4 linked regions of the Caenorhabditis elegans genome follow. The protein of the gene in region 1 interacts with the protein of each later gene in a pairwise test. Each region holds a gene or a part of one and is shown on either strand. Other genes may lie near its edges.

Evidence for each region.
Region 2: the proteins of T11B7.1 (region 1) and phm-2 interact in a two-hybrid assay, tested with the Caenorhabditis elegans proteins (one large-scale study listed by BioGRID).
Region 3: the proteins of T11B7.1 (region 1) and B0393.4 interact in a two-hybrid assay, tested with the Caenorhabditis elegans proteins (one large-scale study listed by BioGRID).
Region 4: the proteins of T11B7.1 (region 1) and stam-1 interact in a two-hybrid assay, tested with the Caenorhabditis elegans proteins (one large-scale study listed by BioGRID).

What each region holds. Positions count from the first base shown.
Region 1 is NC_003282.8:8,838,898-8,843,329, forward strand, and holds T11B7.1 (Centrosomal protein of 162 kDa), read left to right. Parts: upstream 1-1,819; 5' UTR 1,820-1,827; coding exon 1,828-1,894; intron 1,895-2,176; coding exon 2,177-2,384; intron 2,385-2,433; coding exon 2,434-2,856; intron 2,857-2,974; coding exon 2,975-3,295; intron 3,296-3,356; coding exon 3,357-3,675; 3' UTR 3,676-3,908; downstream 3,909-4,432. Other genes in the region: T28C6.7 (Kinesin motor domain-containing protein), read left to right, coding at 18-535, 698-1,028, 1,243-1,275; T28C6.11 (uncharacterized protein), read right to left, coding at 766-986, 1,241-1,364.
Region 2 is NC_003279.8:11,515,869-11,520,569, reverse strand, and holds the start of phm-2 (Pharyngeal muscle protein 2), read right to left. Parts: upstream 3,013-4,701; 5' UTR 3,005-3,012; coding exon 2,951-3,004; intron 2,897-2,950; coding exon 2,828-2,896; intron 2,823-2,827; exon of another isoform or gene 2,724-2,822; coding exon of another isoform or gene 2,691-2,723; intron 2,024-2,690; coding exon of another isoform or gene 1,852-2,023; intron 1,498-1,851; coding exon of another isoform or gene 1,379-1,497; intron 1,104-1,378; coding exon of another isoform or gene 987-1,103; intron 597-986; exon of another isoform or gene 468-596; intron 303-467; coding exon of another isoform or gene 84-302; exon of another isoform or gene 1-83. Other genes in the region: F32B4.5 (KCTD8/12/16 H1 domain-containing protein), read left to right, coding at 84-302, 987-1,103, 1,379-1,497, 1,852-2,023, 2,691-2,723; abhd-11.1 (AB hydrolase-1 domain-containing protein), read right to left, coding at 3,462-3,587, 3,723-4,036.
Region 3 is NC_003281.10:4,759,140-4,765,281, forward strand, and holds B0393.4 (Maelstrom domain-containing protein), read right to left. Parts: upstream 4,471-6,142; 5' UTR 4,390-4,470; coding exon 4,363-4,389; exon of another isoform or gene 4,315-4,362; coding exon 4,107-4,314; intron 4,058-4,106; coding exon 3,734-4,057; intron 3,585-3,733; coding exon 3,214-3,584; intron 3,017-3,213; coding exon 2,613-3,016; intron 2,482-2,612; coding exon 1,989-2,481; intron 1,788-1,988; coding exon 1,538-1,787; intron 1,048-1,537; coding exon 911-1,047; intron 862-910; coding exon 664-861; 3' UTR 541-663; downstream 1-540. Other genes in the region: fbxl-2 (F-box domain-containing protein), read left to right, coding at 1-79, 127-405.
Region 4 is NC_003279.8:5,901,597-5,906,476, reverse strand, and holds stam-1 (Signal transducing adapter molecule 1), read left to right. Parts: upstream 1-1,781; 5' UTR 1,782-1,837; coding exon 1,838-1,843; intron 1,844-2,149; coding exon 2,150-2,257; intron 2,258-2,439; coding exon 2,440-2,631; intron 2,632-2,833; coding exon 2,834-3,031; intron 3,032-3,084; coding exon 3,085-3,335; intron 3,336-3,499; coding exon 3,500-3,932; coding exon of another isoform or gene 3,933-3,962; intron 3,963-4,029; coding exon 4,030-4,215; 3' UTR 4,216-4,372; downstream 4,373-4,880. Other genes in the region: tyr-4 (ShKT domain-containing protein), read right to left, coding at 4,443-4,867.

The sequences.
Region 1 (4,432 bases):
ACTTGTTGTGTTTTCAGTTAACCGAAACAATTTCTGCTCTCCAATCAAAGTTGTATGACGTTCAATCAGAACTGGAAGATACCAAACAGAAGCTAGTCGAGGCTGAAAATTCGGCTTCAGGATGGAATGATGATGATGCGTGGAACAAAAATGAAAATGAAATTGAAGAAGTAAAGAAGGCATTGGAAATCGAGATTTCAAATAGGAATGATACTATTGTGAAACTTCAAAATCTTGTCTCTAATCTACGGCAACAGCTTATCGAGGCATCCGAATCGGCTGATCTGAAGTCTCTGGAAGAGTTGGAACAGTTAAAAGAAGAACTTCGCATTGTTTCGGAGCAGAATGGATTGCTTAAGGATTCGGAAGCTCGATTATTGGATCACGCTGACGAGTTCGCCGTTCAAATGGACAAGTATCGTGAGAAATGCGAAGTTCTGACAGCAAAAATTGCAGAACTGGAAGCACAACTTCAGAATCCTGCTGAAGAAGATCAACAGCAGAAGACATCAAACGTCGAGCTAGTCAAGCTGAGGTGAGTTAAATCTTTTTAACGTTTAAATGAATTGGTGTATAGAACGAAATTTTATTTTAAACTAAAGTATTTGATAGCATGTTCCGGACATGTGAAAATCGAAAAAATAAAGTAACACACAATCAGAAAATTAAATATAGATTTATATTAATATTATTTCAGACAACAACTTGCAAATGCTCAACAGGATATGCGAGTTCAAAATCTGACGATTTCTGATCGTGAAGGTCTTATCGCGGAGTATCGTCATCAAATTGCCGAGCAGACCAAGACAATTGAAGAACTTCACTTGAAACTAAAAACCTTCTCAGCGGCGGCTCGTCGAACTTCTCCACGAGTGCCAATGTCATCGAATGTACCAGCTCTCTCATCCCGCCCATCATCCAGAATGTCAACGTCGTCACGAATCTCAACCGCGTCTTCGTTTGTGCCAGAATCCGTGGCAGTACCACTACAATCAACTGGATCAGCGTTTGATGTCGTCGTACGACAGGTATAAATTTAGCTTTTCATATGATTTCCAGATGCCCAAAACCTAATTGATCACGTTTTCAAACTTAAATTCTTCTGAAAATGTTATCTATGTTACCTTCAAACATTTTTTATGGCGACATCTAAAATAGTGGTATTTCGAAAAAAAATCTCATTGTACATTCGGCCGATATCGGATGCGATACACAAAACCAAGTAATCAATATTACTTACAGAGTGGCGAGCCTCTTCGACGTCGTAACAAATAGATGAGATGACCCCTGTACGTTGCCCGTGGAGAGTGTGGTTCACTGTTTCTTCCAACACTACAAATCTCCAACATACCATTCATTTGCATTCGGTGTTTTCTCCCTCCCTCTTCTCGTTTTTAATCTTTTTTACTTTTATTCTAGGTCTGTCAGTTCTGTAGGATCCCTAATTAAGTAACTTTTCCTCAAGTATTTTTTAATGTATATTCGTAGATCTGCTAAACCTAAATTGAATCGATAATTTTTGGAAACCTTCTTTTCGAGTCGATAATATACATGAGCGTTCTGTTTTATAGTTTTCATCCAGATGACTTGCCCATACGTCATCGTCAAGAGATGACTGATTAATTTATTATTTTTTACATCCAAAGTGCCTTGATATCGGTAGCTAATCGAGTTTTTTGAAGGGTTTTCATTTGTTTTCTTGTTTATAATGCACGAATTGTATGGAAATGATTGTAGTTATGATATTATAAGATATGAATACGGTTTCATTTAACTTCTTTTTTTTAAATCTGTTTTAGTGCAAGGATTTTGGATTTTCAGAGAGTAATGTCAGGAATCAAACCAAGTGTTTCAAAAGGAGAAAGTCAAGCACCGCAAACAAGACAATTGGAAGGTAAACATTTTTGAAATCACAGTGTTTCATAACAGGAATGATATTATTTCTGACGTTTTTTTTTGTATAATTAATCGAAGCTGTCACATCGCCTCGCGCACGCGTGTATGATAGGTTCCATTCGCAATTTGTTCCTGGAAAATTACGGAGAATGAAAGAAAAAGTGTGACGTCATGCGGGTTTTTCTACTTGCGTTTTATGTATCCCGTCTGAAAATCTGAAACATCGATAGTCACGCAGTCCTCTGAATACTTTTCCTCGTGAATGTATATTAAATTTCAGCGTCTAAGCCTACAGTTCAAGGAATAATTGATATTCTTCATGATACCATAAGCTATGTCCAAGTTGAGAAACAAAGTAAAACTATTAATTTTTCCATTCCTCATTTGCAAATGATTAAAGAACAGCTTGAAAGTATTCAATTAAAAGATAAAAACTACAAGGATTTGGAAAAAAAGTTCAATGAAAAACAGGATGAACATTTGGAAACGTAAGTATACTGTTTTTTCGTAATTTTTGTAAGATTAAACTTGTTTCAGAATCCAGAAGTTAGATTCAACACTCAGCCGTCAGAAGCTTAAGTATGATGATATGAGACAGGCACTTTCTGTAAAAATCTATACACTCGAGAATGAATGTTCCAATTTGCAAGACAACTATGCTGACTTGCAAAATGATTTTGAAGTTCAAATTGAAAAATTCAAAAAACTTCAAAACTTGAAAAGTATTCAAAATCACGAGAATTCAAAAAATGTGAATCCTCTAACATTGGATGAGCTCACCGAACAGTTGAAACAATTCAAAGAAGAACTAAGTATTGATCAGAAACTGAAAAATATTCAGTTAACTTGTGAAGGACTACAGTCAGCTGTTGGAAATTTTGAAATGAATTCGAAAAAAGCTAAGGAAATTGAAATTCTTAAAATGGATATAAAGAAGACACAAGAGCTCTATGAATCAAGGTAACTATGTTTATCTGTATAGTCGACCGAAAACATAACATGCACTGCCATCGAGATATAGTAATCTGTTTGGCAGTGTAAGAACAAACATTTTATGTTTCGTAATTACTTTTTCCAGACTGCTCAGGGCTGCTCAAGAAAACAAGAAACTGCTCAGAAAAAACGATACATTGAAAAACTATCTTGATAATCAAACAGCGAAAATTGGAGAGCTCACAGCTGGAAACAAAACAGAGAATCGTTCACCAACTCCAACATTGCAGGGACTTATTGAAATTCTTCAAAAGTTTTCAGACGATCAAAAACTTGAACCAGAATGTAAGATGCTGCAGTTGCATAAAGAGGAGTGTCGTTTGATTTTGGAAAGTCTTGAAGTGCACGATAAGAAAGATCAAGAGATTCAGTGGTTCCAAAGACAAATTAACGATCAGAAAAAAAGGTAAGTTTTGACGAAACATTTATATTTTGTTGATCTTAAAAACACATAAAAATTATTACAGAATCGCTAATCTTGGTTGGTCATACGAAAATGCTCTTGAAGATAAGGATGCTCTAGAATTAAAGCTTGAACATCAATACGAGCAGATGATGGAATTGAAAAAGAATTTCATTCCGAAAAACGAAATTTCTGAGGATTTGGCGAAGACTGTCAGAAATTTTGGAAAACGTCTCAGAAATTCTCGAGGAAATTTGAAGAATGCGTTCAAAGAATTAGAAGCTTTAAAAGAAGTTCAAGAGGAAGAAGGCTCATCAGATGAAAGTTCTGAAAGCAGCGCTTCTGATGATTTACCAGATGGTGACAGCTCGTCAGAGGAATAGCATCGAATCAGAAAATTGAGATTTCATTGAAATTAAATGTACCTTCTTACAATGACTAATATTTTAAAAAATTTTAACTATTCACAAATCAACGATTTTCTTGTTATTCGCTCTACGATATATCATGATTTCCCATTTATCCGACTTTCTCTTTGTTTTCAAATTTTCTTGATTATTCTGATTAACTTTACACTGTTCCAACTGTTCTTGTTTCTGAAATAAAATCTTCCAATAAGTCCTTCCAAGAACCAAAGACAAACTTATGTATAAAAAATGTCACAATTATAACAGCTGCGGACGAGCCCGAACAGGTTGAAAGTCTTTCTCAACCTGTGGACAAATGACGGTCCAACAGCCGGTAATGGACCTAAGACGGCCTTCAGTTTGCCCGCTATAAAACCGTACGTATTAGCCAGCGGTGGGCCACTTTTCACTGTTGCCGCTTCAAATTTGTCATGGCTTGGAATGGATAGAAGATTGTTGAGACGATGGGTATATCAGATTTCTTATTCTGTTCGTAAAGTCTGGATCATTTTGAGATTATTCTGCGTCTAATGATACAATTATCTTATTTATGTTCCTCGAGGGTGTCATTTTTCCATGCTATCGATTTTTTAGACAATCATAAATGTTGTTAGGTTGACCGAAGGCGCTGGAAGATGATGAACATGCCCTAAATTTTTGACTTTTGACAAGCCAAAGTTTACATTTCTGTTCATTAGATCTTTGAAAGCAATTTGATTTTTGTAACATCGGA
Region 2 (4,701 bases), on another chromosome or scaffold:
CCTCTTTTGCCTCCTATTCTTCTTCTTTCTTTCTGCTAACAAACACTAGAGATAAACGAAGAAGTGAACGCACACACACATACATGCAAGTTGCACAAATTATTTGTGCTCACGGAGCAACAATTTCAACGACTCGTGCCACACTTCAACGTGCTCCACAATCGTTGCTCGCCACTTCGCCCGACGCAACGTCTGATTCAGATGACAAGATTGTGCGGATCCTCGTCGAGGCGCTTCGTCGCAGTGACATGAGCATTATCGTCTCCGAATCTTTCGATCAGTGGGCCCGATTGGCCGTTGAGGTGAGTCTATGGGCTCCGCGAGCAGTTAATGGAAGCTTTTTGTAAGAGCTCGGCTGCTTTGGATTTATGGATTCCGAAATGAGAAAGAGCTATACGAGATTTAAAAAAATCCCATAATTCTGTCATTTCTAGATGGAGCTCAATTAGGATAATGAGCATTTCACCGTGGAAATGCATAATTTAGCTTTTCGTTCCCCAGCATAAAAATTCCCCCTAAGCTCAATTACCAGATTGATTGGCGAAAATGGGAGCTAGAATGCTCAAAAATGCTCAAAATTGTCTCAAAACTCCTATTTTGGATATTTTAGGACAAAATTTCAAAAAAAAATTATCGTTTACTTGGGGAACACACTATTAAGCTTTCTGGTAGTGAATTCGATCATCCTTGAACGCAGAATAAGATCTTGGCATAATCTTGCCGTGGGAAAATTGAACGTTCACGCGTGGTGTCAGAGTGTCTCATATGGGATTGATCTACATAGATCTACAAAAAATGCGGGAGAAGAGACACAGAATTCTCAACTGATTTCGTATGGTTAAGAACGTGCTGATGCCACATATTTTTGGACAACAAATTCCCGCATTTTTTGTAGATCAAACCGTGATGGGACAGCCTGGCATCACGTGTGTTCACGATAAAGCAGGAAATGCACCGAAACCAAGAATCGCTGCTCTTTATTCCAGGCCAAACGTCTTGGGCTCATTTCATTTGTGGAGGCCGCCTGCCCGTCAACCATTAGCATCTCTTGTCATGCGGCTCTCTCAACCGGACGTATCAATCCAGAAGTCACGTTTCGAAAGGTACACAATATCCATTTTATGGCTCAAAAAACAACAGGAAAAGCTTTCGCGTCATCAAATCCCGAACCAGTAAAGGGAACAACAACAAGCCCATTTTTCCTGCTCTCGTTTTTTTTTCCTTTTTTCTGTTCATTTCTCTTGCGGTTTTCTCCCATCAATTTTCCCCTATTATTGCTTATGAATACAGCAATAGGGGAATATGTATGTTAAGAGAAGAGAGACACACACAGACAAATGCTCATCATTTTTGACGTCGAGAAAAAGGATATTTTCAGGTTCTACGAATCGTCGTATCCGGAAAAGTAATCATGTGCCGAGCAGTGTTCGGCGATTCGTTGAACGAGTGTAGAGACGGAGGAGGCACGGATTTCGAGATGGATCGCTACACTTCTAGGTAGAGACAGGCTTTTTCGCGGCCAGAAATACTGAAAACCCGTCATGTAGATTTACGCGAAATTTACAGTTTCTAGCTATAATAGCTGATTTCTGAACCATTAAAAAATGTTCCGTCTCCGTTTGATCTACAAAAAATGCGTGCTGACGTGAAATTTTTTTGGGGAAAAATATCCGCATTTTTTGTAGATCACACCACACGGGGGAGTACACTAGCGGAAATCGACAGTTTCACAAGAAGAGCTCATAAGCTCTTTTTGAAACATAATATTTGAGCAGAACGATTGGTATTTCAGCACTACCAAATGACAAGTTAACCAGATTTCAAAGCTTCAACCCAATCCTCTCTTTCCAGATTCTTCCTAAAACACAGCAACTTAGAGAAAGCGTTCGACCAACTCGCGTCTTCCGGCTACCGACTTATTCATTCCAACACATTTGCGCCGTCCGAGATGCCAAAACATGCGGCGAAAGATGACTCGCAATTTATTCATCATTCTCAATTTGTTTTCCATCGACAGCCAAAGGTAGGAAATTGACGATGAAAAAAGTTAGAGCTGAGAATATCGAATTTTGAATTGAAATTGGTCTAATTTGATGTTAGGAAATCATTTTTTTTGTGAAAAAAAAAACACTAAACGTCGGAAAATTTCCCTGCTAACATCAAATTAGTTGATTTTTCCTTCAAAATTCGTCATTTTCATTGCATTAGCTTGTAGAAACCCCCACAATTCGTCCAGTAACGCCACTTTTCCCGGAAGTTGGTGAGGTGAACAAAAGGGAACTTTGTCTCTATCCGCTTAAAAGCTTTTTCCTTCTTCTTCTTCTTCCAATTTTCCCTTCAAATCAAATCACGGGCGGCTTCATCTTCTTTTCCCCCCGCTTTTACGTGCTCTTCCACCGGAACGTGTGTGCTCACAAGGGGAGCTCGAAAATGTCTGAGCCGTTGGAAATGGATTTTCGCCGGAAAAAAAGCAGCCAATTCTTCTTCAAGTTCCGTTCATCTCATTAGCCAGCGCCCTTTTTCTATGCATTTTGAGACGCTAATTTGATCACACAAGTGGTGAATAGAATGCACAATTTATGGGGGGAGGGGAGCCCTTTTTCTTTTTTCCGGGAAAGTTGGGCCGGAAATTCGAGAAGTATCGCTTTCAATTGGTGGGAAACCGAATTTATATATCGATTTTTTTGCAGCTTTGCCCTCCATCGGACACTGGTAGCAACTAGCAACGTGGACTTTTATTGCATTTTTCAAATAAATTGTTTTTTTTTGTAATTTTTCAATTTTGACAGGAGATTCGACGATAAATAAATACATCACACATTTTTACCTTATTCAAACGAACAGTGAGCACAACCTTGACTCCTTGAGTACTCAAACCACGCTTCTCGAGCTCTGTCTGCAAAAAGTGCATTTTATAGGGAATTTCCAGTGGAAAAAATGATTCACTTACCTTCAATTCACTAACACGCAAGTCATTGATCAATTTTCCGCTTTCCAACGGCATATTTTGCTCTGAAAATCGAAAATTTTCGGTGGAAAAAAATCGATAAAACACCAACTCGGCGACAACATGATTTTCGACGAAAATAACGGGCTTTTTTTTAGGCGGTTCAAACGATTGCCACGTAAGCAAATTCTTAATTTGGCGTGAAAAATTTAAAAAAAAAGAGAAAAATTGGATAATTTTACGCAGAAAAGATGAGAAATGAGAAAAAAAGAAATGCGCAGCGTTCGCGCAAGCTCACGAGAAACGCGCCAGCAACCACTGGTTGGCGCGTTTCGTGAAAAGCGAGGGAGATTCAAATTAGAATATTTTTGCAGGCCAAAAACGCAATTTTTCAAACGAATAATAAGAGAAAACCCATTTATTATAAACGAATTATGTAAAATTCAAGAAATTTATCGAATAAATTGAGGAAAAACTGCTAAAACTGCTGGAATTCCATGTCAAATTTCATAATTTAAATGTAAGCTCTCATTCCAAGCTGATCAGGTTCCTCCAGGAACTCGCAAATCGAGTCGACAAAGAATTTCGGGTCATCAGCATGAATCCAGTGGTTCGACCAGGCAGTTTCGGCGAATTGCACCTGTGAATTTGAATTTTTGAGCTTATTTTTCAAAATTTATCGATTTTTAGCCTATTGCTTGTCTTCACACCCTTCTAGATTATTTTCCCGCCATTTTTAAAGATCAAACTAGTCGAAAACCTTATATTTCCTTACCATTGGGAACATTTTCTCTACTCGATTCTTATGAGCCGCCGGAAGGAATCCCGAGCCAGGAGCCCGCTGGAACAGAGTCGGACCATCGAAAACTCCGAACCGAATGTCGTGGCTGAGCAGATAAATGTATGTCTCATCGATAACATTCAGATTGCATATCCAATGAGCTTTTCCGTTCACATCTTCACCCAAATTTCCGCGCACAAATTGGTAGAGCAGCACCTTTGACACTTTTTCGCCGAGCTCCGCCATCACTTCGCTTCGCGATTTGTTCATATCAGTGGCGATCATTTGTTTGATACATTCGAGGTATTCTGGAATAATTGGGGAGTTGTATTTCGAATTGATTTCCGGCAAATCGGCAAACTGCCGGAGTGGAAATTTCCGGCAAATCGGCAAATTGCCGGATTTGAAAATGCTCGGCCTATCGGTAAATCGGCGAATTGCCTGATTTCAAAATTTCCGGCAAATCGACAATTGCCAAAATTGAATCTTTTTGGCAAATCGGCAAACTGCGTGAATTGAAAATTGCCGGAATTGAAAATTTCCGGCAAGTTGCCTGATTTCAAAATTTCCGGCAATTCGACAATTGCCAAAATTGAAACTTTTTGGCAAATCGGCAAACTGCCGAAATTGAAATTTCCGGAAAATCGGCAAATTGCCGGATTGGACAATTTCCGGCAAATGGACAAATCGGCAATTGCCAAAATTGAAACTTATCGGAAAATTGGAGAATTGCCGAAAATAGAATTTCCGACAAATCGGCAAACTGCCGGAGTTGAAATTTCCGGCAAATCGGCAAATTGCCGGATTTGAAAATGCTCGGCCTATCGGTAAATCGGCAAATTGCCTGATTTCAAAATTTCCGGCAAATCGGCAAATGCCAAAATTGAAACTTTTTGGCAAATCGGCAACTGCCAAAATTGAAACTTTTCGGCAAATCGGCAAATTGGCGGATATGAAAAGTTGCCGCCAATTC
Region 3 (6,142 bases), on another chromosome or scaffold:
TGGTCCTCTAGCTGTATTGTCTGAAAAAGAGCAAGAAGAGCTCGCTCGCATGTTAATGGAGATTCAGCCACCTTTCCAAGTGAGTTTTATTTAATCAAAAATGATTTTTCAATTCGTTTATTTTAGAATGCTGATTGGTTGAATTATGACCCATATGGAATGTCAAATGTCTTCCAACCTTCTTATACCGACTTTGAAAATAGCATCACAGTCGGATCAGCAGGAGCACCAGGACCACCAAAAGAAAAAGGATCCGATAAAATTTTGAAGCATTCTCGTCCGAGCCGACCAAAACGGCAAGCACAAAAGGAACGAGTTCAACAAAGACGATCAGGAAATATTCAAAAGCCAGTTGTTCCACAAGGACCATCATTCACAGACGATGATTTCCCACCACTTGGATGATTGCGAAACCCATTTCAGTTATTTTCTACGTTCTCATTATTGTATGTTATTTATCTAGAAAATGCCTATTCAGGTGAAGTGTTAAACTAATATTTTTTAACGTGCCTAATGATAAACACGTGTTCTTCCAATTAATAATCATCTCATTTTTTTATTTGCGAACTAATCATAAATGTTTCACATTAAATAGCCGTATTACGAAAAACGTTCATTGAAACAATTAAAACACAAAAAAGGGGGAATTATAATTACGAAATATTATTGTACCGAGTTGGAGCTAGACGGTTGATGTGCAGTCGGAATCTTCTTGAGATGGTAACGTCGGAAGAAACTTCCAATGACATGATAAACGATGCAACACGTTCTTCCTACAGTAACCGAAGCACAGAAATTGCTCTTTGGCTCCGAATGACGAGCACAATGGAAATCGGTGCCAGTTTCCCATGGAGAAACACTCTGAATAAATAAAGTAAAAAAAAACAATGGAAGTTCATTAAATCCTTACGTCTTCTGCATCAACTTTTTGTCCGAGCAGACTGAACCAACGCATGGTTTCTACGTCAATTTTCTCATTCATAATGTCAGAAATAGCTTCCACGAATGCTTCAACAATCACAAAACAGTTGGGAGTGACTGGAAAACCTGAAAATGGTACATATTTTTACATGTCAAGTGCAATAAAGTATATTACCGTATTTCTTCTATTAATATGGCTGCAATACTATTTTTCGATGGTCTTCCCGCTTGCAATACTAATAGGGAGTGCAAGACTATTAGGGAGTGCAATACTAATTTTCAGAACATTTTCTGACTTTGAGCTTACTAGTTTTTTCCTGAAAAAGCTCGAATCATATTTAAAAATTCAGAAAATTTGATTTTCATATAAGTTCAAAAACTTCAATCTCGTAGAAATGATGTGAAAACTGTTGCAAAATAGGCAAAAAATGTTGTTGAAATCCTGAAATTAGCGAGACGGGTTTGCAATACAAAAAAGTTAACGCAAGACTATTAGAGAGTGCAAGAATAATAGGGAGTGCAATACTAATTTTCGGAAGGTCTCCGAGGGGCAATACTAATAGGGAGTGCAAGTCTAATAGGGAGGCCATGTTAATAGAAGATATACGGTATTTACCATCATAATGAAATCCAACATTATTTGCCAAATGCTTCATGCTGTCCACCATCAAATCAAGTTCAGATTGAAGAACAAGAATGAATCGACGATCATTTTTATCACACAACATTCCTGGATCCTTGAAGTTGTTCTTGATGTTCAAATCAATTTTTGTCTTTTCATTGCACGCATCACTGTACAAACCAACTTTGACACCCTGGTGGCATGCGATACTTGGCTCCACACGTCCCAGAATTTCTTCCACCAACTGAAATTTTATTTGTTTTGAACGTGTGTTAAAATAAAATTATACTAAATTGAGGAACAACAAGCGCAAAAACTACCGTACTCGTTAAAGAGGCGCGCACTAAGATGAAGTAATTCCCGGTCATCGCGAGACCCAAATCAAAACTTTTTCGTATTTTACGAGACAATAATTGCAAGCCGAAAATGTTTTCAAAAACTATACCCTTTTCTTGGTGATCGTAGCAAAATTGTTCTGAAGTGGAATACGATGAGTCTCCAATGCATGTCTAGAAGCGCGTCTTCTATGTGATTCACTTTCAGGCATCCATGGTCCAACAATTGCATGAAACTTTTCAACAATTCCAGAGAATAATGAAAACTCGTTCATCGCCATTTCAGCCAACATGCATTCTCCATCAATATTTCCATATGTTTGTACAGAAGCTAACAAGAATCTCAAATCACGAATTCCATCAATATTACCATCGATTGCATTGAGAACTCGTTCCTTAACAAATGCCACGTCACGACGATATTTGCGAAGTAGATCAGCGTCTTCATAGTTACCAGCAGAACTTTGTTGAACAATTTGATTGAGCATAACTCCATTTCCATGAAGAATCTCCTCCTCAATATCCGGATCTTCATAAAATTGATCCTCAACTGGTCGTCTCAACATACGCTTTTTAGCCTTTATTTTAGCCCATCTTTCTTTTCTGAAAAATGACAAAAATCACAATTTCGAATCAAAAACACTTTTTTTTTAATAACAAAACTTCATTAAAATGGCAAAACATGGCCATAAAAACAATTAAAAAGTTTAATTCGAGTTGAAGAGTCGACCTACTTCATGTTCAAGTCCGTTCTCTTGAAGAAAGGATTGGTTTGGCCACTGGCGGCAAGAAATCCATCGAGCTCCTCAACATGTCCATGAGATGGAATATTCATTGAAGTGCTTTGAGATGGTCTGGAGAATGACGAGAAATGTCCAGTTGAAGTAGATCTTTGGCTGTATGGGTAGTGGGAGCTAGCAGCAGAGAATGATCTACCCTTGTACCAACTTGGAAGCATTCCTGAGCTGGCACTCTCCCGAGGAATTACACGATTTGTGAATCCGTTTGGCTTTGAGTTGAAGGGGGAGAAGCCATCCGAAAGATCAGAACGATCCATGAAGCGACTAGATGATTGGGAATCTCTTGGTAATGAATCATAATCGTAGTTGAAACGTTTACGATTAGCGAATGGATTCACCTGAAAATAAATATAATTTAAAATAGTTCACAAACTTTTATGAAACAGTTAATTTACGATGTGCCCATCTGGAACTTTGCAGACGCAATGAAGGAAAAATGCGCACACCGCGACTCTCAATCGGTCACAATTTGTTCAATGTGCTCATAGAAGCATTATGCACACATCGTAAATTATAGTGATCACAGTAAACTTACGTTCTTGCTCGGATCTAGTCTACTGAATCCTCCGAATCCCCCAGGATTGCTGAATCCTCCAACATTGAATGGACTGGTCTTTCCATCAAACTTGGCATACGGCGACGGGGAAACACTCATGCTCTCAATCGATGGTTGCTTTCGAACACAAGCAGCAAACGACATTGGCTCCTGCGGTTGGTGTTGTTGATGATGAGCTGGAATTGCAGCAATGTTCATCGATTCGGTGACGGCACGAATGTTGGCAAGGTGCGTCAGTTGAGCTTTATACGGGACACGTTGCAACGGTGGCGGAGTCACATATGGCTCGGGATCCTCGATTGGAGTAGTTGGAGTCGTGAGCAATGGAGGCTCGGATGGAGGAGAGGACTCTGTAAACGAGAAGTACAGTTAAAACAAGCTGTCAGCATATAGTTTTCTCCAAAATAAGAACTTGAACTTGGAGATCAATTAATTATCTTTTTGGCGGATCAATAATAAATTTGTAATATTTCGCAGATTTTTTTCTCAAGCTTCTTACCTAGAGTTGGGTCCTCTGAGGCGGTGACAACCTCGACATGCTCAACAACGACTGGCTCTTCCGGCTCCACTGCTGGTTCAGCCTGAGCGATTTGTTCATCTTGAACCGTCAAACTGTCGGAAGCTGGCTCTTCTTGAACTACTGGCAGGGGCTCTGAGATGGGCTCTGGAGTGGACTCTGGGACGGGCTCGGGAACGGGCTCGGGAACGGGCTCGGGAACGGGCAAAGTGACGGCAACTTTAGGCACTTGGGGGGTCGAGTTTCTTGGCGGTTGCTTGTATGTCAGCTTCTTACGGTTTGATCTTTTCGGAACGGAAGGCTTGTCTGAAAATGATTGCATTTTAGAAACTGAAAGTAACCTCTAAAATCTTACTGGGTTCGGCAGCGAGTAGAATTTGTACAAGCTCCGGAATTGGTTCAGGGAGCGGTGGCGGGATCGGTTCCGATGGACGAGTTGGAGAAGATGGTTCGACGGAAGGTGGTGGGGTAGCAGTGAGGGCCACATTGAGAAGTTGACGGCGAGCATTTTTGTCTCTTGCAAATAGTTCGACTGTCAAATTTTGCATCTGTTTTCGAGCCGTCTGAAACATAGATTATGAGTAAACTGAATAGAATCTTCTGAAACTTACTTGATTGGGACGATTTTGTTTTCGCATGATTGTTTCGGATTTTTTGAAAACAGAAACAGTGAACAGAGAATATTGTTGTTATGATTTCAGACTGAAAGCTCCAAACTTCACAGCAACATTGTGATGACGTCATCTACCACGTCTCCGGGGTCAAGTTTATGGGATGCCACGGGCAAAATAAAAAGTTGAGTTCTTGAATTTTAAAATTTTAAAAGACCACGGAAAAAGTTATCAATTTCCGGTAAATTTATCACGTGAACATGTTTGAAAAGAATAGGAGTAGACATCGTATGCAGGTGCCTGACTAAACATGTATCCTTGGAACTTTCCTAGAAGCTGAAATCAAGCCAGAAACAAAAAATTCAATAACGTTTTCGTAACACTTCATTTCTTTAATAGAAAACAGAATAGTTCTAGTTCAATTTCATCTTCAAAAAAGTTCAAAATTTTTTTAACTTCAGAAAACATTTTTAATATTTTTATTTTGTAGCAAATGTTTAATAGTAGATTGGCGAATTCATTTACCTTAATTTGCTACCCGAGATATAAGCGTTGTTCTGAAAATTTCGCTTTTCATGTGCTAAAACGTTCAAAAAAATTTTTTATTTCAGAAAAGTTAGAATAGGTAGAATTGCACTCATCCCTCGTCTTTCATACATCATTAGATTTTGTGTACTGCGACTTACAAACGGTCGCTTTCATTTCAGTAAGTAAAACTTGAAAATACCAAAATGGAGAATGGCTAACCTAGACTTTACAAGTAGGCACGAGGTAGGCGTCTGTCGTTTCAAAGGCAGACAATTTTGCTTGCAAATGGTTGATTGTTGGCACTTCACTGTAGTCCATACCAAAATTCCCTAGAAGCAGCTCGACAAATCGCGACAACCTTTCTGCCAACTTCTGCAAAAATTTTGAAATTGGCATTTCTTAAGTTCTCTGATTTTTTGATTTTTTGATTACAAGTGATTATAACTTGCAAACTTGAATTTTTAGAAAGGTGAGTTATCTGCGTAAAAGTATCTGCTTAAAATAATTAATTAGTAAAAAGCAAGAAAATAATAAAAACAATTTTCCGAAGAAACTTTAATTTTCCCCATGAAAACTCTTAAAATGTTCCAAAGAACCCACTTTTGATCAAATTACATCCGGAAACACTTGAATTCCACAAACTGTTGAGTCTATCCCACCTGCTGTGCTCTCATTAATTCAATTGAGATCCTTTCAAATCTACATTTTGCAACATTTCCAACCCTCCACCTGCTTCAAATTCCAATCAAACCAATGTTTTTTCTTTGCCCTTCCAGTTTACTATAATCCCATCCCAATTCGAGATTCCCCTCTTTGGCCAGATATGAAATTCTTGTTGATATCAAAAGTGATATGAGATATCAGTTAGGTTATATATTACGAATCCATCAAAAGATATATGTATTGGATGCGAATCGGGACGCAAAATGAAATGAGAAGAGAACGACGAATGATTATTCATCACTCGGGAGAAAGTGAGACTATATGGACATTTTGTGACTCAATGCACTTACAATGTTGACAGTTTATATCGGGAAATCCCAATGGTTACTTTTGAAGAACAAATTAGCACATGGAATAGTTTTCATTCTACCTTCAGATCCATTCCAATTTATTCGAAACTACTCAGCGAAGATATGCGAAGTTGTAGGCTGCAATGCTCCAGCACCGAAAGTTCTGTTCAGAAAAATTCAGCCCATTTTTCTACTTTTTTAAGGTGTCTTCTGGAGACTTTAATTGTTTTAGGGTGTTT
Region 4 (4,880 bases), on another chromosome or scaffold:
TGGCTACTGCCAGTGGGGAATGTGTAAAATAATTCCTATGCTGTGACCAAATGACTAAATGTCATAATAAAATTGTCAAAAAATTTGGAAATTATGGAATTTTTCTTCGATTTTTTGACTTAATTATGTTTAAAATACTTATATTCCAACATTGTGGAGATTCAAACATGCGACAGTGATTTAGATTTTTCAAATTTGACTCGAAATAAAAAATTCCAAAATTTTTTGAAAATCTTTATAACGAGATTCGGTAATTTCAACAGCATATGAATAGTTTTTAATAATTTCCCCATTAGTCGTAGTCCACTTTTAACTTTAATTAATAATTAAAACCATTAAGGTTTAAAACCGAATTTCAAAAAAAAATTTCGATATAGAAGACTAAGAATAAAATATAACTTTAAAGAAAGAAGTTATGAAAGTTTTTGTGAGTAAAATGAGTACCAATGTGTATTTTGGGAGGCACGGGGTTGGTGATGAACATTATGTGTTGTATTACGCATGCCATAGACCAGTTTTGCGCGGATTGCATGATCAAGTCGATTGACTTTTCGTCTTTTTCGATTAAATTGATAACCGATCCAGAATAATACTTATATAATTTCATTGAATTACAAAATTCAAATGAGTTAGTAAAAAACTAGAACATTCAGTAAAATTTCAAAGCTATTTGCAAACCACAAACTTGAAATTTGAAAAAAATCAAACATGGAAACTCTAGACAGTGTACACAGGACAAATTACACTGATTAATCTATATCAACTCGCCAAGTTTACAAAATTTCGTCGAAAAACTGATAAGCACATGCAAAAATTCGTGTGAATTGGCTCTAGATAGAAAAATATGAATTGGCTCTAGATAGAAAAAATAACTAAATCGATAATGTTTCGTGTCGTTTTCGATGTATTTTTATGGCTCGCTATCGGCAGCAGCTACCGCTTGTGGCTGTTGTTGGGCCCCTTTTTGACGAATTAGGTGAAGAGAATCGAACGGAAATGAAAATTTATATGAACACAGAGTGGAAGAGTGGTGAGAGAGAGAGAAAAGAACGAAAAGCAGGTGGAATCAACAATGAAAGTGCAAACAATTGTGCTTATAAACAATTTGGATTTGGATTTTTTTTCAACAATTTTTAAAAATTCTATTACGATGAGAAGTAAGAAATATGAATGGAATAAATAGAAGTCTGAACAAATTTTTTTGAAAACGAAAAATTGAACATTTTGTTACGAAGCGTTTTCAGGTTCTAAAGTATTATTTTTTAGGAAAAAACATTAAAAACGTCCCAGTAATCTACTTTTAATAATTTTGAACTAATTATTGAGTAACATTTAGTTTTAAAAGTTTAGAAAAAGCATGGACACTGAAAATTAAAAAAAAACATGTTTAAACAGAGAAAAAAATTTGAAAGATTAAAGGAGCGCGCGATTTGTAGCATGAGGGTCTGCCACGAATTCTACAGTTGTTCAGATCATTTTTTTTGAATTATTCCACAATCTTTCTTCTCTTTGGAATTTAATTTTTCTCGAAAGTTATTTAATTTTTCTATAAAAATGTGCATTGCAGTTTTAAAATGTTTTTTTTTTCAATTAAACGCATGAATGTGATTGGTACACGCGTGAGACGCAAGTTCTCGAAAATCTGCGATTGCGAAAGGCAAAAGTATTCATTTTTTCGAAAAAATAAACAAATTGCTCAAACTAAATTGAATATCGATCGTCTTTGCCCTCAATATTTTAAATATCACGCTTTTGAAAATTATTTCGAAATAAATATTCAGTTTCAGTGAGACTCATTCAATTGAACCTGATCACGTGCTGAAAGTCTGCTGTAACAATGAAGGTTTGTTCGTTTTCCTATCTCTACTTTAATTAAAAATAGTGTTAAGAGTAATTGTTCATTCAAATAGATTTTTTTTCATTCAGTAAAAAATGATTAAGTTTTCGGAAAGGAAGAAAACAAAACAAAAACATAGAAAAAAGTGTGCACGAACGAACACACAAAGCATATGCGTCAGTGTCTTAACCCGTCTAATGTCTCTTCATCCCCCTACACTCTCTCTTTCAGTTCACCCGACTAACACATTCAACAAGCAAACCCGTTATTGATTCAATTTTCTTTCGTAATATTCCTTTTTTATATTTTCAGAAACAAAAGTCATTTCCAATGTCTGCTTATGAGGATTTGCTCGGAAAAATCACTGCTCCAACTATCACTGTTGAGAATTGGGAGGGAATTCTCGCATTTTGTGATATGGTTCGTTCAATTTGTTTTAAAAAATGTATAAACCTTTTCACTGATTTATAGATAGAATTCTTTGTCGTTTGATAAAAAATCATATTTTAAAATTAAAATTTCCTCCTTAAATTTGCTAGCTGATTTTCACCGAAAATCATTGATTTTGGACTAAACTTAATGTTTTAGTTTAAAATTTTCAGATTAATAACGACTTCGAGGGATCGAAAACAGGAATCAAATCACTTCGTAAACGTCTCAACAATCGTGATCCTCATGTTGTCCTTCTAGCGATTTCTGTACTTGATTCGTGTTGGGCAAACTGTGAAGAAAGATTCAGAAAGGAAGTATCGTCTGCACAATTTATCAATGAACTCAAAGCTCTTTGTACATCGGTGAGTTTTTGTTTAAATCTGAAATTGTTAAACAAAATATCAAAATTTCTTTCATGAAGTTTTGTATTTCTTTAATAGATATAGTATACGCAGAAAAGAGATAAAAAAGAGAAATAGAGTTAGAAAAATAAGTATAATACGAAAATACGATACATTTCACCGCGTTTACAAAAAAAAATACAAAAATTTACAATTATTATAGAGTCAACGCCAAGTTGCTGAAAAAATGCGATTAACTGTTCAAAAATGGGTGGATACAGAATGCAAAACTGAACAATCACTGTCACTTATCGTCACTCTTCACAAAAATCTTGTTGCTGATGGCTACTCATTTGTTGTGGATGATCCAAAAAGTAAAACGAAAGCGATTGATGCAAAGTTTGCAAATGATCCGAATTATGTGAGTTGTGGAAGTTCGCGGCAATAAATATCAAAAATTAATAATTATTATAGGTTGGATCTGCTCAGGAAGAAGAAGCAATCGCAAAAGCCATTGCTGCTTCATTGGCGGATGCAGAGAAACAGGAAAAAGCAAAAAAATCAACATCCACAATGTATCCATCAGCAAAAGCAAGTAGTCCAGCAGTTCAGACTAATTCGAATATTCCGGAAAAGAATGTTCGAGCGTTATACGATTTTGAGGCTGCTGAAAGCAATGAATTATCTTTTGTTGCTGGAGATATTATTACAATTACTGATGAAAGGTAAGCAACAAAAATGTGTTCTAGTTTAAATTGAAAGCAATCGCTTAAAAATCAAATCAGGAAGTTCTTCAGTTTTTTTTTTTGTAATTTAAAATTAATCATACCGAACCTTTTCGTTACTGACTGCTTCTATCAATTATCAAAAAAAAAACAATTTTTTGCAGCAATCCCCACTGGTGGACTGGTCGTATTGGTACCCAACAGGGACTTTTCCCATCCAGCTTCGTTACTAATCAACTCGATGATCTAAAATCAAAAGAGACGGATTCATCACAGAAAGCCCCAGAAGTTGTAGCCTCAATTAATGAAGCAATCCTTGTTCGTTGTCTTCAAGTACTCCATGAATGTGATCCTACCGGTGAACGACAGGATCCAGAGGATTTGGCCCAACTAGAAGCCGCCTCGTATGCTCAAGGAAATCTCATTGATGCACATTTGGCTAGTATTGATCGACAGAGCAACTCTCTAGCACAAATCGATGTGGCTATTCGTGATGTGCTCGCACTTTATGATGATGCGATTCAGAAGGGAGGATTTCAGCATCAAAGTCAAGGAATGTACCAACAACCAATGCAACAGTACAACTATCAGCAACCAGTCAGTTTTTATTCAGAAAAAAATATTTAGAAAACTGAAATTTTTCATTCTAAGCTTCACGGTAATGCCTATCAATTCAAAAAATCGTATTTTTCAGCCAAACCGAGCATATTACCCACCTACCGGTCCTGTCCAACAACAGCAGCCACAACAATATCCTCCACAACACTATCCGGCTCCTGGAGCACAACCACAGTACGCATGCCCACCGAATTCTGTTCCCCAACCTCAACAACAGCAACAACAATGGCCTGCTCCGTCTTCACAGCCTCAACAATATTAACTTTTTGATTTGTTGTGAATATCACCTTTTCCTCCTTGAATCTGTAACTAGTTCCATTGATATTGTGATCACTTCTAACTTATTTTTCTCGATTCGCCACCCGTTTCTGTATAGTCTTTTGCTTCCTCGAGTTCTCGATAAGATAAAAATGAATTCTTTATTGAGTTTGAGGCAAATATTTATTATACACGAAAATAATCGGATAAATTGAGAAAAGGTAACAAAAATTACAAGAGGTCCGGATCAAAAGATGGCATTGAAATTGATGCATTGGCTGCTCGAATGGATCGTTTACCCCATCCACCGCCTCCCCATCCACCTCCACCCCATCCACCTCTTCCACCACCCCATCTTGATCCTCCCCATGGATCATTGTTTCCCCATCCACCACCTCCATTTCCACCCCATCCTCCATTATCTCCGAAATCGTCACGTCCCCAACCTCCACGTGGTGGTTGACGAGATGGATTAGTCTGACGAACTTGTGCAACTGGAGCAACTGATCCAGCTGTAGTTCCACACATTCTACGAAGCTCTGATTGAGTATAGCAACTGTTACAGCTTGATCTACAATTCTCAGCCATCCATGGATTTTTCTGACATTCACCGACACGAGCCCATCCGGCACATGATCTATGGTAGTCGACGCATGCTGAAATATATAT